4 linked regions of the Ovis aries genome follow. The protein of the gene in region 3 interacts with the protein of the main gene of each other region in a biochemical or structural test. Links are inferred from orthologs where the notes say so. Each region holds a gene or a part of one and is shown on either strand. Other genes may lie near its edges.

Region 1 (4,076 bases), on a different chromosome or scaffold from region 3:
CAAGTGCAAATATTGGCCCTCTTGGGCTTTATATTCCAGCAGGTTGGAGAAGGAGCGATGCATAGTAACTATGGCACTGACAACAACCAAAACACCTACTGTGCGCTCGCCTTGTGCCAGCACTGCTTTGACTTATAATTTTCACACCCTGTGAAGTGGATAGTTTTAATACTATTTCTCAGTTCACCAAGAGGAAACAGAAGCACAGAAAGGTTAAGAGACTTGCCCAAACTCACATAGCTGATGAGTGGTGGAGCCTGGATTTGAATCAGTAAACAGGTAAACAAGTAAGTCAAAAATTCCTCTGTCCCCATGCTGAGAACTCATATACATTCCTCATGCACGAGATGAGGTTTCCGCCTCAGGGTATGGAGGTTGAGAGAGGTGAAGCTGCCCGCACGAGGTCTCAGGGTCAGTGGTTGGGGAGTAGGATTTAGAGCCCACAGTGCCTTAGCAGCAGCAGCAGCAGTAGCCTCTAACTTGGGGGTTGGTCAAGACACTGCTGTACCTCAGGCTCTCCTCCCCGAAATCTACTTGCCCATTCCAGCCAAAGGCAGCTCCAGCACTATCTGTCTCAAGACAAGAACATGCTCTCATTACTATCACAGCACCGGAGCCCCTCCAGGCCCCAAGGGAGAAGAGGATGGGAGCCTGGCTGGGGCACCCACTTCCCTGGCCTTGCAAGGATTTTCTCTGTCTCTAGAAACAGATTGAACTGGCTGCCTCCTCTCCAGCCTCACCCTTCTGCCCCCCTCCCCGTTGCTCTGTCTAAGGTCACTCTGCTGTGTTCCAAGGCTAACACGAAATCAGAAGGGGTAGGTGGAGGGGGAGAAGGCGAAGGCGCTGGGGGCTGAAATTTGAGATCTCAGCCTTGCGAGGAGAGGTTGGAGAGAGAGAGACATGGAAAGACAGAGACAGAACGAGAATTCAGTTGCCTTTGGTTTTCCGAAGCGGGCAGCTTGCGGGTTTGGGGTATGTGTGTGTGTGTGTGTGTGTGTGAGTGTGTGTGTGTCTTGTTTTCTTTCCTCCCCTCTGGCAGGGGGCCAGGCCTCCACTGGATCATAAAAGGACTCAGAGGCGAGGCAGGCAGAGCAAGCCAGTGGAGGGACATAGCAGCAGTGTGTGGACACGCGCGCGAGGAGGCAGGAAGGGAAAGAGGGAAGAGCAGAGGTGAGGGCGTGTCTGGGGGCGGGAGTGTAAGGCGGTGGGAGGAAGCGGAGCAGCTGTGGTATTTGGAACAATTATAAATAGCCGCCTGGACAGAGCTTGGCCAAACAGGGCTTTGCAGCTGCGGCGTCTGTGCAGGCAAGCCTGGCCACTGTTGGCCAGCGGTGGGTGCCAACAGGGCACGGAGATAGGTGGTGGACAGGCCCAGCCCCAGGGCTCTGACTCGACACCCCTCACCATCACCACATCTCTGGATGCCCTCCCCTCCAGCCATGCTGCTGGGTGGCCTCCTTCTCATTGTGGCCTCTACAACCGTGGCCCAGCGGAGGGGGCAGGAGGCTACCGGGCGCCGCCGGGCCCACCGAGTCCAGCACGGCCAATGCAGCTACACCTTCGTGCTGCCAGAGCCTGAGCCCTGCCCACCCGAGCCTGAGGCCTTCGGGGCCTCTAACAGTCTCCAGAGGGACTCCCCGGCGGCCGCACTGAACCTAGGAGACTGGCCGAGCCAGCGGATGCGACAGCTGGAAAAAATGCTGGAGAACAACACGCAGTGGCTGCAGAAGGTAAGGGCTGGGTCTGCAGCGGGGTGAGGGCAGCGAACAGCAGGTGGAGCATCTACCCCAGAGCCCTGCCCTGGACACAGATGGCCAGGCTAATGGGGCCCTTGTCTCTGGATTGTACATATTGGAATGATGAGGCCCAGAGAGGGGCAGAGATGAGTCTGAGGCCACACAGCAAGACTGGGAGAAGACAGAACTGGGAACTAACTCCCCAGCTGCCACTCATTCATCCAGTGTGGACCAGTCCCGTCCATAAGCAGAAGAGTACATCCCCTTCTGGACCAGTATAGGAAAGAGACAATAAAGGGATGAGCAAGATGTACTCTGTCGGAGGTAAAGCAAAGTGAGAAAGAAAAAGGCAAGGAGTGACCAGAGGTGGCGATCTGAAGTCAGATAATCAGAGAGGATTTCTCAGAGGAGGTGACATTTGAGACCAGAGAATGAGCGAAGTGATGGAGCAACCTGGGAAGGTTTCTAGGGGGAGGCTATTTCCAGCCAAGGGACCAGCAAGTGCAGAGGCTGTGTGGCGGGAAGGTAGCTGGGGTACCTGGGGAACAGCAGCATGGCTGGAGCAGAGGAGGGCAATAGAGGGTTGAGGGACAAAATCCAAGAGGTGAGGGGAGGGCAGACCATGTTGGGCCTTGAGGGCCGCGGGAAGGACTTTGGCTCTTCCTCTGAGTTTCACAGGAGCCATTGCAGGGTTTTGAGCAGATGAGACACACCTGAGTTAGTTTTAACAGAATAGGGACTATAAGGGACAGATTTAATGCTGGGAGCCCAAGGAAGAGACCAGGCAAGAAGTGATGGAGGCATGACCAGATACAGGACAGCAGGAGGGGGTGTGGCCAGTCAGATTCTGGTATATTCTGAAGGGGAAGTTAATGGGCTCTGCTGATGAACTGGATATGGGGTGGCAGAGATGAGGGGGCTGAGGGCCCCATTGTCATTTTGGCCCAATGCTGGGGCCACTCTAGGATCCCCTGTCCTCATTCTTTCAGCAGATATTCTGAGCATCTACTGTGTGCCAGGCTCTAGGCAAGAAACTGAGGTGAACAAAGCAGGTTCAGCCCTGGGTGGGGTGAGGAAAGCATCCTATGATGTCCAAGATGGGGAGCAGTCCCTCTTTATCCCATGGTTCAAATTGTTCAAATTGTTTGCCTGGTGAGCAAACAATGTGTCGCTCCCCCGGTACATGCATATTTATTTAGTATTTGTGCACCTTATTAATATAATATTTACTAGGTATGACACAAATGAAAACTTTAAGAAGATAACATGAAATCACGTAAATTAGAGTTCCGGTGGCTTCCTCCTGTTTTCTAAAGGATGGCCTTCTGCATACCCTGGGTTGACCATCTCCCAGGTAGAGAGTTACACTTATCTAACCAAGCTGATTTGTGCACATACTCGAATACACACTTAAACTGTTTCGTTCCTGCCCTGACCATCTATCCCCTCAGCCTCCTATTCACCATCTTCTCATAGTCGCTGCCTACTTGCCCCTCTTACCTTGCAACACTTACAGCTGCCACCATCCCATGCTTAGGTCCCCCCTCAAGGGAGCTCTTGGCCTCATACACTGGATCCCAGAGGGCTCCATGCTGCCTTGAAATCTGTGTGTCTTCAGGCAGCTGTTTCCCGTCCTGTAAGGGTCATGCCAAGCCTCGTCTCCTCCTCAGCCTCCATTTTCACTTTGTGCCCATCCTCTCACCAGACCATGGATCTCCTACTTCAAAGAGACATGGGGCCTACCTATGCACCCACCAGCCCCCAGGGCCTTTCTCTGGCTCAGAGGAAGGGTTCCTCCATGGACCAGAGTCACTCTTTCACACCTGTGGGTCACATCCCCTGCAATCCCTGAACCTCCTCAAACCAACCATGCCTCTTGTGTCTCTACCAACTCCTCCCTTTAGGCTGTTCCTTCCCCTCAATCTTTAATTGCATTTCCCATGTTAAAGAAAGAAAGAGGAATCGGAGAAGGAGGAGGAGAGAGAACAAGACCCTTCTCCAGCCCACACCTTCTGACTCTGGCCTGGCTCTCAGAAGTCTGCACGCTCTGCCCCCACTTCCTCCTTCATCCCATCCTTTCCCGAAGCAGCCTCCCACTTCCCATTTCCTAATCCAGAGGCCACGGCTCAGTCTTCATCTCACTTGACCTCTTGGCAAATTTAGTATCACTAACCAATATCATCCTTCCAGAAACGGTCTCCATCAGCCAGTCCTCATCTACCACTCTGACTGCTGTCCCTACCTCCATCCTGGACCAGCCACCTCCAACTCCTATTGGATGGTCATCACAAAGGATGTCCCAGGCTCCATTTCTACCCAGACCCCAATAGTCCATTCTGT
Region 2 (3,500 bases), on a different chromosome or scaffold from region 3:
ATTATCCCCAAAGACCATGGAGGACAACAAAGAAAGAATACTTTTCATTGGTTTTGAACCTTAACTTTCATATTTACTACCTTGGAGGCTGTAGGGAAATTAATCTTAACTTTTTGGAAAACGTCTTCGTTCTACTGTAATCTCATTATTTAAAACTATTTGTGTAATCTTATTTTCAGGGGTTTTTAATTTCATAATAAAATTCCAGCTGAGGTGAAATTAAGCATGGATGCTCTTAGATCAAGAAGGAATCCCATGTCCTAAGCAAAGTTTAAACCCACCAAGCCCATTTAAAAGCAGAAATCAAAAGAGTAGGGAAGTGAAACAAAAGGGGCCGTGAGCAAGGTAGAGAGAAGCATGAGGTCGGGGTCTGTAGGCGGAACCGCCAGGCCCCGCTCGGTTCACACACAAAGCCTCCAGTCCCTCCTTCTGACGGGTGAACCATGGAACCTGACTTTGATCCCACACTCAGAGGAAGCCTAACAGCTCCACGGCATCACAGCAGTCTTAGAAGCTCTGCGATCCAAGAGTCTCCCTTTTACACAACTCTCTGGAGAGGTGATTGGGACTGGCAGCCACCATAAAGGTTTTCAGGGATGTGGACACAAAGCAATAGATCTCTGCAGGCTGGAGATGAGAGATTTGGAGCCAATCAGCCAACGTGTCCCATTCCAGAAAACCTCTAAGGAACAGAGATCTCTGGGTCAGCTGTCGGGGTGGGGCTCTAGCCTAGAACAGATGATGACAAGGTCCTATTTTCATCCACACGTCGTGTTATGTTACTGTTTACTTTTCATCATCATTTTAAATTCATGGTTTTCAATTTCCTTAAAATCCTTTGCCTCTTGGAAGACCACAGAGATTTACCCCAGAGAACCCCATCAGCTCTGGCCGTATTCTAAGTATCTCTGTTCATCTCGTTTCTGTTATGTAAGTCCGGACGTTTCCCAGGCAGTAACTGTGCGTTCCCGTTGCAGGCTTACTGTGACATGCAAACGGCTGGAGGTGGGTGGACGGTTATTCAGCGACGTGAAGATGGCAGTGTTGATTTTCAGAGGACTTGGAAAGAATATAAAGTGGTATGGACATTCTTTAAACCATCTGAAAACAATTTTCCTTGTGGAAACTAACTTTGACAATGTGCAGGACTACCACCACAAATCTAAAACTAACCAATGATTTTTGACCATTTTTTTTGTTTTGAAACCAAAAAGATCTTTCTAACTGGTGTTTCTGCCACCACGTTAAAGAATGGTCCAGTCGATGTAATGTAAATGAAACATCAAAACAAAGGCATGGGAAAGCTAGTGGGCTCAGCATTTCTAGGGGTAGACTACTTCACAGCATTTCACACCTCTACAAACTAAGGTGTTTATAGTGATGCTTCTTTTTTAAGATTTTTTTTGATGTGGACCATTTTTTTAAGTCTTTATTGGATTTGTTACAATACTGATTCTGTTTTATGTTTTGGCTTTTGGCCACCAGGCATGCAGGATCTGAACTCCCCAACCAGGGACTGAGCCCAGACCCCTTGCATTGGAAACTGAAGCCTCAAACACTGGACCAGCAGGGAGGTCCCTATGACAATGTTTCTACTGGGGGTTCTCCAAGTTGTTCTAATTATTCCAATACCAATCTCCTTCTGGTAACAGCTTAGCTTCTTAACAATGATTTTTTAAAAACCTTATATGGAAGGCCCCAACGTTTCACAGCACAGGAAGGAATTTCTGCTGAATGTTTGATGCTTGTTCTATGTTAAGTTGATGGACTACTGATTTCAAATATGTGAAGGGGGAAAAGAAAAATAGGTGAAGTAAGCGACCTTTTCAACTTGAATTTCAGGGATTCGGGAACCCTTCGGGTGAACACTGGCTGGGAAATGAGTTTGTTTCACAAGTGACTGGTCAGAAACGCTACGTGCTGAAAATACACCTGAGAGACTGGGAAGGGAACGAGGCGTACTCGCTGTATGACCACTTCCATCTCTCGAGTGAAGAGCTCAACTACAGGTGAGGAAACTACACGCCACTGAAGCGAGTTAAAAGACCTGCTGAAGTCAGAAGCCCACTGTATTAACCAGAATCTGAATGACTCACAGGCTACCTTAATGGGGAAAAGCAGCTTGTCTCTCAGTTCTTTGCTGCCCTCAGCCAAGTGTCTCTAGTTTTAGCAGTCTAACGATACAAGGGGAGCTTTATGAGACAGAATCATGCCTGTTGTGTCTGCTCTGTACCCTCAGAGCACAGATGAACCCTGCCTGGCAGGTAATTATTTGCAGAATAAATGCATGTTGTGTCCTTATTATAAGATATCATGCCAATAACACAGCAGATGTATGTGTGTGTGAGTTGCTCAGTTGTGTCCAACTGACCCCACGGGCTGTAGCCCACCAGGCTCCTCTATCCATGGAATTCTCTAGGCCAGGATACCAGAATGAGTAGCCATTTCCTTCTCCAGGAGATCTTCCCAATCCAGGAACTGAACTCGGGTCTCCTGCATTTGGCAGGCAGAGTCTTTACTGTCTGAGCCACAGGGAAGCCTAGCAGATGCATGAGTATGCTGTTTCCCTCTAGAAGGTTTTAAAAGTTAAATCTATCTTTGTGAAGTTCAACCACATTCAGTTGTTGCGTTCCGCTCCACGCTCAAGAGAGGCATGACTAGCTAGGTGGTTGGGCAGCTGGGTCCTCTCCCCTGGGCTGCAGGAAGACGGGCTGGTTTGCAGCTTGGCCTCAGTATTTGCGTCCTCCCACCTGCTTGGCGGAGCTAATCTCAAATGTTCCAAGAAAAGCACGCACAGTTCTGAATGGGAACTGGCTCTCTGGCGCTAGAGTGGCCTGAGAGTGGAGGCAGAGCAAAGGGGCCCTGCACCCTGCTGTGCGAGGCCAGGGCAGTGCAGGGGTCGGGGCGTCTCGCTGTCACGCAGGGGCTCAGGACGCCTGTTGCTGGTGGGGCTCAGGGGGACGGGGTGCCTGCAGGTGACCCAGGAACCTGTCTGGGAAGATACAACACAAGGGGTCAGGTGCCAGCACATCCTGACGGGGTCTAGAAGGCACCGGCTGGGGAAGAACGGGGGGAGGCGTGGCTCCGGTGGCCGCAGGGCACACGTGAGACACCTGCTCTGCTGTCAGGCAAGAGAAGGTCCACAGCAGCATCACAGGAGACAGACGTCAGCTGGCCTGCAGTCCTGGCTGAACTCCACCGACGCCCAGTACAGAGCCTCTGCTCGATGAAAGTTCCAAGGCCTCAGTAGTTTGGGGGTGGCGGGGGGGAACCTGCGATTTTTAAAGTCCTTGAGCTGGCTTCTCGGGGAGGCCGCAATGGATAGCTCGAGAAAAAACGGGCTGAAAGCCGGCCTGCTGACAGCTACCTGAGATGTGCACAACGTCCAGTGTCCTGCTGAACAGTGGGCCAAAATTCAGAAGCATTTCTGAAGGCATGATTTCTGACAAGCTTTGACACGACTTCTAAGAAGTCAGCCACTGGCTCTCATCACACACAGA
Region 3 (3,586 bases):
TGAAAGAAAAGTTGTTTTATTACTCTCAAATATATACCGTAATGCTAAGGATTATCTGTTTTGCAGATTTTCAAGCAAAGTTCCTTGTCTTTTAAGATTAGGAGAGATCTATCTGTAATGAATCACCATCTGCTTAGTAAATAACTCCACTGAAAGGAAAGGTAGGGATCCCTAGTGGTCCAAAGGTTAAGAATCCTCATGCCAATGCAGGGGACATGGGTTCAATCCCTGGTCTGGGAAGATGCCACATGCCGTGGAGCAACTAGGCCTGTGTGCCACAACTACTGTCCACATGCCGCAACCGCTGAAGCCGGCGAGCCCTGAGAGACCTTGCTCTGCAACAAGAGAAGCCATCACAATGAGAAGCTCACACCCTGCAACTAGAGGGTAGCCCCTGCTCAGTGAGTCTAGACAAAGCCTGTGCACAGCCACGAAGACCCCGGAGAACCGAAAATAAACAAACTCTTTTAAATACAGGAAAGGTAAATCGCAGGACAGGTCTGCCTGAATTATTGTTAGTCCAAACATATGGAGCATTCATAAATATTGCGGGTCACTAAAATGATTTGAGGTGTTGGGGAGAGGGCACTCATTGGCCTCTACTTACAACTAACTACCTGTCATGGTTTCTAAGAAGCAGACTTGAAGTGATGGGAGCTTAATCTAATTGGCGGCCACCAAGCATCATTCAGGCAAGCCTGGGGCAGCGTAAGTTACTTACTGTCGCTAAGCGTCCAAGCGATGAGATCTTCACTCCATTCCCCCTGGGCCTTGGTGTTGACTCTGGCTCGGACTATGTACTGCTCCCTGGGGTGTAAGTTGTTAAGCAGCACTGAAGTCAAGTTGCCTGGCACTTTAATATTCTGCTGATCACTATTCATTTGCACAGATCTCCTCTCGACTTCAACATAAAAGTCATCTTCTGAGCTTGGGAATATTGGTTGCCAGGTCAAATTTAGAGTGGTCTGACTTTTTGGAAGGAGACTGAGACCTCTTGGAGGAGGAAGACCTAGGAGAAACCAGAAGGATCATTGTTTTATATGAAGTGAAGCTAACAACAGCCCCCAAGGACAACCTTGGCTTCTAGAATAATATACAAGCTAGCAAAGAAACAGCCACTAGCAGTCATGAAATACTTTTTCCCCCTACCAAAATAGCAAAGCTTTAAAATATTAGTGTGTAGTTTGAGTAACTGTAAGACAAAATACAACCCCTCTGAAGGACAACTTGGGAATATTTTTCAAGAGCCTTAGAAATGGTCATATACTTTGTATAATCTGACTACCAGGGATTTATCCTGAAGAAATAACTCAAAGGAAGCAAAAAGGCTAGGGACATGAAGATGTCCCTTACAACATTATTTATAACAAACAATCATAAGAAACCTAAGTGCTCAAAGTAGGGAAATGCTTTAATAAATTTTGATATAGCCACCCAAGGGATTAAAGTATTATTGTGAGAAGTACAGAAGCCTCTCCAAAACTTGTAACACATGAGAAATACTCTAATTTCCACTTGGGAAAAGTCATGTCTACAAAGAGGAAGGAAACTGAAAAAATTGGAAACACTGGATTTGCCAAAGTTGTGGGGTTGCAGGTGAGCATTCAGTGTCTCTGTTCCCATTTTGAGCAAAATGTTTTAAAGCAATTTCAGGGTTACATCCCCTTAGCAGGGACAATTTCACATGTGATAACACAGCGATGGCAGGGCCAGCCTCTGATCACATCAAGGTTTGGCTCTGACCACAGGCTGTGTGGCCATAATTACCCGCAAGAACCTGAGTCACCAGAGAGGTAACTGAATGGAAACAACGTGAGTTGTGAAATCAAAGAGGCAGAAGCATGCCCCTTTAGTTCTGTGACCTTTGGAAAATTTATGTAGCATGAAATAAAAACACTCACCTTCCAAATTCAAGAGGAAGAATGAGATAATGGAGATGAAAATGCTTGGAAGGTGTTTGGGTTCCATCAACATTTTCTCCCTCCCTTCCTTCCTATCTTATCTTGTATCAATGGACAGAGAAGGAATCTGCAAGTTTTCAACTAGTAACAGCACACTGATATTTTAAACTCCAGATATAAAGTATTTTCAAAACACAGAATAGGGATCCTCTCCTCATGCATTTTCAGTGGGGACATTACTGCCCCTAACGGGGCAAAAATTGGTCCTCGGGGTATGAGAAAATTTTAGATAATTACAATGGTTTACGAAGGACCACAATATATAAACAGATTTATGGTATTAAAATTCATGGCAGAAGAGACATTAAAACAAAACAGAGATGGTATCTTAAGGACAAAACTATCTAAGAAGCTCTTTAGAGGGTTATAATTAAAAATAAAAATAATATAAAGAAGTGGAAACAAACAAATGTATATATAACAATCACTTTGCTGTACACCTGAACTAACACAACATTGTAAGTCAACTATACTCCAATACAATGAAAAAGTAAAAACAAAAAATAAAGTAAGAAGGCTGAGAAACTTGGTCAGAGGTGACAGGAAGTGTCTATTTCCACTCCTCAGGAGAGGGTCTCTCACTAACAGCTTTGACCACCCATAGACGAGGGAGAACCAGCAATCAGGTATGCCACCTGCTTGGCACTACGCTACAGGTCTCGTTGGTCTTTTCTCCATAACCTTTGCAAATTGCAAGAGGTGATGTCACCTCCTTTTGCTCTTCTCTAAAGTTCCAAAATAAGCCACCTGGAATGAGTAGGCAGGCTTATAACGACACAACAGACGGAAAGAGGGCTGATGGTGTACAGCAAACCTGGAAACCTTCTGAGCCTGTGCCTTGTACAGAAGAGCAGCCCCATAAATGGTCATTTCCTCTTTCCCCTCCCTTTGAGAGCATGGCTTACCCTTCACCCCTCCCTACCTGCCCTCTTTCTGCCGTGTGTTCAGAGTGTGTCCTGTCCCCTCCCCTCCTGGCCTTCCCGGCCTTTGCCCTCAGTCAATACACTTATAAATAGTGCAACTGCCAAATGAATTTAAAAACAAACATCAGCAAAATTCAAATGATGGGAAAAGATGAACCTTCAAGAATTCCCTTCCCACCCACCCCTGAGAACTACTTTGAAATATTCCAAGAGACCTCTGAATACATCCTGGCTGGAACATATTCTGAGCGCTGAAGACAGCACACTGTGGATCTGTTAAGTGTTTTATGTTCTGTTCCATAAATACTTTCCATCTGAGTCAGATTATGCCCTTCCCCTTTTGATTCATCAGCACTGGCCTAGGAGAGAATAAGCTACCATTTGCTTTGTAGCAGCAACCTGATGGCATTTCAGGGGCCTCTTGCATCACAGTCATGGAGGTTCCTTTTATCCTCTAAGTCATATTGTTTCCAGGGTTATTTTCTTTTTTAAGATTTTTTTTTTTAATGTGGGCCATTTTTAAAGTCTTTATTGAATTTGTTGCAATCTTGCTTCTGTTTTATGTTTTGGTTTCTTGACTGCAAGGCAAGTGGGATCTTACCTCCCTGACCAGAGATAGAACACGTACCCCCCTGCACTGGAAGGCAAAGTCTTAAGCATTGGACTGCCAGGGAAGTCCCCGCCAGTGTTATTTTTGGTGTT
Region 4 (4,276 bases), on a different chromosome or scaffold from region 3:
TTTTCCTATTGATAAAAATAGAGTCAAAGGTAATATTCCTGACTGAGGTTTGTTGGGATAGTTAAATAAGATTGTGTGTATAGTAAGTTCTTAGCAAGTGTCATTCTTATTATGGCATATGAGTAACATAGCCAACAAGGAGACAGGGCAATATCAGGAAGAGGCCGCAAAGGCGGTTCAAAGACTCTTGCTATGTTTGGTATTACTCGCTCCTGTATCTGTCAGTTCAGAAATTTGTTATTTTGTGTGGAAAGGACTGATAAATCTTGGCACAGTTTCCCCCCAAGTAAATCACATTATTTCTGAAATTTGTTTTGCACTCTCCTTTAGCTTCTTTCCACACATCAGTCTCTAACCCGTACCACTTTTCATCTACTGCCTTCTGCCTCCATTCCAGGACATGAGAGTCAACATCTGTGGCTTCTGTTTTCACACCATGATTGCAGTTGGGAAACTCCATTCCCCATAATCCCTCCCAGTTCTTGGTGAAAGCCTCTGCTTATAATTCATGTTTTCCACACAGAGCTAGTAAAGATCTCAGTGCTATAAAATTAATTCTGTAATTATCACCTGTTCTTTATGTTCAAATGTTTGTTCAAATGTTTACACCATACATTTAAGAAATCATCTTCTGATACTTTTTATTCGTACTTAATAGAAGCAGAGATTTCTCCCATACAGCTCTATGCTGTCTCGTTAACACACCTGATCTGTTTGTTCTCAGGTAGTTTTCCTGTGCAGCCACGGGAGAGTTTATGTAGAACTTCCGTACCAGCATTAAAGATAGCCATAGCAGTACCAAAGAGGTCCTTGTGAAATATATGATTGGGATGTACCACAGGAATTAATAATTCTCAGGCCACTGTCTTAAATGGTAACCACAGTGTTTTTGTAAGGAAGTTGCTCAATTTATGTACACAGAACACACAGGGCTGCATTCTGACTCGGGAGCCAGTTTTATTTAAAATTTATATCTCAGAAAATACTAAAATTATTCTACTTAATATGCATATGCTATATTCCTTTGAGTGACATTGTGAAATGTTTTGCTAATTTGACCCTTCCTGATAATTTCCTGAAATTCTAAGTGAATAAATGCCATCTCTAAAAATGGTTTTAATGTCTTTTTCCCCAGAGTAAAGAATTATTTTTTAAAAAAAGTAATAATTGTACAGATTCATCATCCACTATAAAAAATAATTTTCTTGGAAACTGTGCCAGTTTTCTTCTTCAGGTTCCCCAATTAAGTAAAACTTTAAAGACATACTTCTAGTTTGCTGGATTTTAGTAGGTCAGCATACACACCAAAAGTGTATTAAGGTGGACTGCTCTATTTATTGATTTTCAGTGAATCTGCTAAAGGCTCAAGGCAATTGTCTGCGGAAGGGGCGGGAGGGCCATACACGATCGAGGTCATGCGCATCTAGCCAATGTGTAAGACGATCCAGCCGCTTCGCTTCAAGCCATCAGCAATCCTTAGCATAGGGGCACCCTCATGCATTCTTGTCAAGTCATCTTGTGAAAGGCTGCCTGCTTCCAGCTTGGCTTGGATGTGCAACCTTAATAAAACTCACTGAGGTCTGGGAGAAAATAGCAGATCTGCAGCAGATAGGGTAGAGGAAAGGGTCTAGAATATGTACACGCAGCTGACTCAGGCAGGCTCTACGCTGAACGGTTACACCGAGAGGAAACAATAAATCTCAGCTACTATGCAATAAATATCTCAAGTTTTTAACTAAGGAAACTATCATTACGGTGAAATTAAAAAAAAATACGATTTTAGAACAAAGCTAAAAATGGCTAGTTTTCTGTGATTCTTCTACAAAACTTTCTTTGAAAGGGAAAAGTCAAACAAACAAGCAGTTTTACCTGAAATAAAGAACTAGTTTAAAGGTCAGAAGAAAGGAGCGAGTTTTGCGAGAGGCACGGAGAGAGTGCCGGCAAGTACAATGACAGTTTTCCTTTCCTTTGCTTTCCTCGCTGCTATTCTGACTCACATAGGGTGCAGCAACCAGCGCCGAAGTCCAGAAAACGGTGGGAGAAGATATTACCGGATTCAACATGGGCAATGTGCCTACACTTTCATTCTTCCAGAACACGACGGTAACTGTCGTGAGAGTACGACAGACCAGTACAACACAAACGCTCTGCAGAGAGATGCTCCACACGTGGAACAGGATTTCTCTTCCCAGAAACTTCAACATCTGGAGCATGTGATGGAAAATTATACTCAGTGGCTGCAAAAAGTAAGTGAACGCTTTCAGTTTCTAATTGCACGGAGCCTTTTCTGTTCTACCGCTGCAACTAACTTAAGAGTTCCTTAGGGGGCCATTTGTGTGTTTACCTTTTGCTCCAGGGGGGCAGTGTTTGCAAATGCAAGACGGCTCTCTCCCTATGACTTAAAGGGGTGAGCCAAGATTTTGTAGTCTTGTGCCTCTGAAAGTATGGTGGCACCCCATTTGTGTGCCTAACACTGGCACATTTTGTGACATTTTTGGTTTTCTCTTATTTAAAATTCAGCTTGAGTTTTTCTGACTGTCAAAGCCCAGCTTAAAAAAAAAAAAAACCAAACGTGTATGTCTTGAGTAAGTTGGTGAAAAAATTAAATAATAACAACAGTACTATTAGGATCAAATAAATTTTACACCCTGAAATTTTGTGCAGCTAGGACAGAAAGTCATCACCAGATACTTATTTTTCAACCTCTAGTAAAGTTAATATAAAATGTGGATAAATACAAAGTATGATATTTGATTGAAGAAATTGAATAAGTATGTAAAGGAAACAGTTTCAGCAAGTAGTAGAATAGTAAAAGACTGATTTCTGTCATATATTTCTTCTGTCCTTGAGAAAAAAATCAGGAAAATATATTTGAATGTGAACTCATCAGGAAGAGGTTGTTTGCCCACTGTGAAAAGACATGCACCTGCAGATTTGGGCTGAACACGACATGTAGATTTTGCTATGTCCCTAAAGTGCCTCTTTCCTCAAGACATTATAGTCACACACAGTGCAATGTGGGGATCCAGATAAATGTTAATGTTGAGTATGCATTTAATTCCAATTTATAAAAATCAAGCATCATATTTAGTTATTTCTCTATAAACCATTTTAAAGTTTTTGTTGAAAATATGCCAGTGAAAAATAACACACTTTCTGCAATTCCTTCCCTCTTTGCTCTGTGTTTAATTGTGTAACAAGTAAGCAGCAGATAACAAGTGTGTTCAAATGTGTCGCTGGAAGGGTGACAATGTCAGTGTCCCACTTGTGGAAAGCTTCTCCCCCAGGGATCTTTGCTAAAAATTCACTTGATGTGTAGGGTAGGAACACAGGCAGTCTAGTCTTCTTTATGTTAGTCTGTTAACAGAACAAACCCTTTAAGAAGATAAAAGATAGGGAAAGGACAAATGCTCTTTTTTGTTTCTGTGTGGTCACACTCACTTAGATCACCTCCTGCTGAATCATGCCAAGTAATAGTTATTTTACTTTTGTCCACTAGGGACTGAACTAAGATCACTGTTATTTTATTTGACAAGTTAACTAAACCTTAGTAGTTTTATTCCAACCTTGGAATTTTAGTTGATCTTCCTATTGTAGGTTACAGGTGAAAAAAATACATTGATAGGCAAAATAATAGAAAACAAACAATTCTGAAGTCTTTTGATAACATGGCTTAAATTTCAGGCACTAATTAAATGTAGCTTAAATTTCAGGCACTAATTACAGCAGCAGTTTATAATAGGATTTTTTTTTCCTTTCACAAAACTTATTTCCATCATGAACAAATGAATTTGGTTGAATAGCTTATTACTATTCTCAATATACTGTTCATATAGTTTTAAATGAGAATTTAACCATTATAAATTAGTCTGGAGTCATTGAGGAAGGTGGAGAGGGAAATTTAGTTCCAAATTGTCTTCAGTGAGTTATTCTACCAAAAATGTAATATTTTGTTTGCTTAAAATATACAATCCAAATGATGATTTAAGCATGAAAATACATATTTTTATTGTTGTTGTGCAGTTATTTAACAGTAACAGGATAAAGACATGATTCTACTGGGTTTAAATCATGCACATGCTTCATATGTTAATATTTGAAATACATTTGATTTTTGTTTGTATTATTTTTGGTCAAGATGATGGCATACTTTTCAGATTATAGCCAAGCATAACTATGAACATGTTTTTTGGTGAAATTGACCCTTGCTAGCATGAATCAAGCAGAATGTATGCTGACAATGTCTCTGTTAGTTTGAGTCAGAGCAGTTTGGCTT

What was found.
Region 1: the proteins of TEK (region 3) and ANGPT4 form a complex in vitro, tested with the Homo sapiens proteins (2 studies listed by BioGRID and IntAct). The link is inferred for Ovis aries from reciprocal best matches to the Homo sapiens genes TEK and ANGPT4.
Region 2: the proteins of TEK (region 3) and ANGPT2 form a complex in vitro, tested with the Homo sapiens proteins (7 studies listed by BioGRID and IntAct, with this or other methods). The link is inferred for Ovis aries from reciprocal best matches to the Homo sapiens genes TEK and ANGPT2.
Region 4: the proteins of TEK (region 3) and ANGPT1 form a complex in vitro, tested with the Homo sapiens proteins (6 studies listed by BioGRID and IntAct, with this or other methods). The link is inferred for Ovis aries from reciprocal best matches to the Homo sapiens genes TEK and ANGPT1.

What each region holds. Positions count from the first base shown.
Region 1 is NC_056066.1:59,852,804-59,856,879, forward strand, and holds the start of ANGPT4 (angiopoietin-4), read left to right. Parts: upstream 1-1,272; 5' UTR 1,273-1,421; coding exon 1,422-1,730; intron 1,731-4,076. UniProt on the Homo sapiens protein: Binds to TEK/TIE2, modulating ANGPT1 signaling. Can induce tyrosine phosphorylation of TEK/TIE2. Promotes endothelial cell survival, migration and angiogenesis.
Region 2 is NC_056079.1:5,662,391-5,665,890, reverse strand, and holds part of ANGPT2 (angiopoietin-2), read left to right. Parts: intron 1-977; coding exon 978-1,079; intron 1,080-1,842; coding exon 1,843-2,009; intron 2,010-3,500. UniProt on the Homo sapiens protein: Binds to TEK/TIE2, competing for the ANGPT1 binding site, and modulating ANGPT1 signaling. Can induce tyrosine phosphorylation of TEK/TIE2 in the absence of ANGPT1.
Region 3 is NC_056055.1:95,909,480-95,913,065, reverse strand, and holds part of TEK (angiopoietin-1 receptor), read right to left. Parts: intron 1,010-3,586; coding exon 722-1,009; intron 1-721. UniProt on the Homo sapiens protein: Tyrosine-protein kinase that acts as a cell-surface receptor for ANGPT1, ANGPT2 and ANGPT4 and regulates angiogenesis, endothelial cell survival, proliferation, migration, adhesion and cell spreading, reorganization of the actin cytoskeleton, but also maintenance of vascular quiescence.
Region 4 is NC_056062.1:69,923,986-69,928,261, forward strand, and holds the start of ANGPT1 (angiopoietin-1), read left to right. Parts: upstream 1-1,429; 5' UTR 1,430-1,949; coding exon 1,950-2,246; intron 2,247-4,276. UniProt on the Homo sapiens protein: Binds and activates TEK/TIE2 receptor by inducing its dimerization and tyrosine phosphorylation.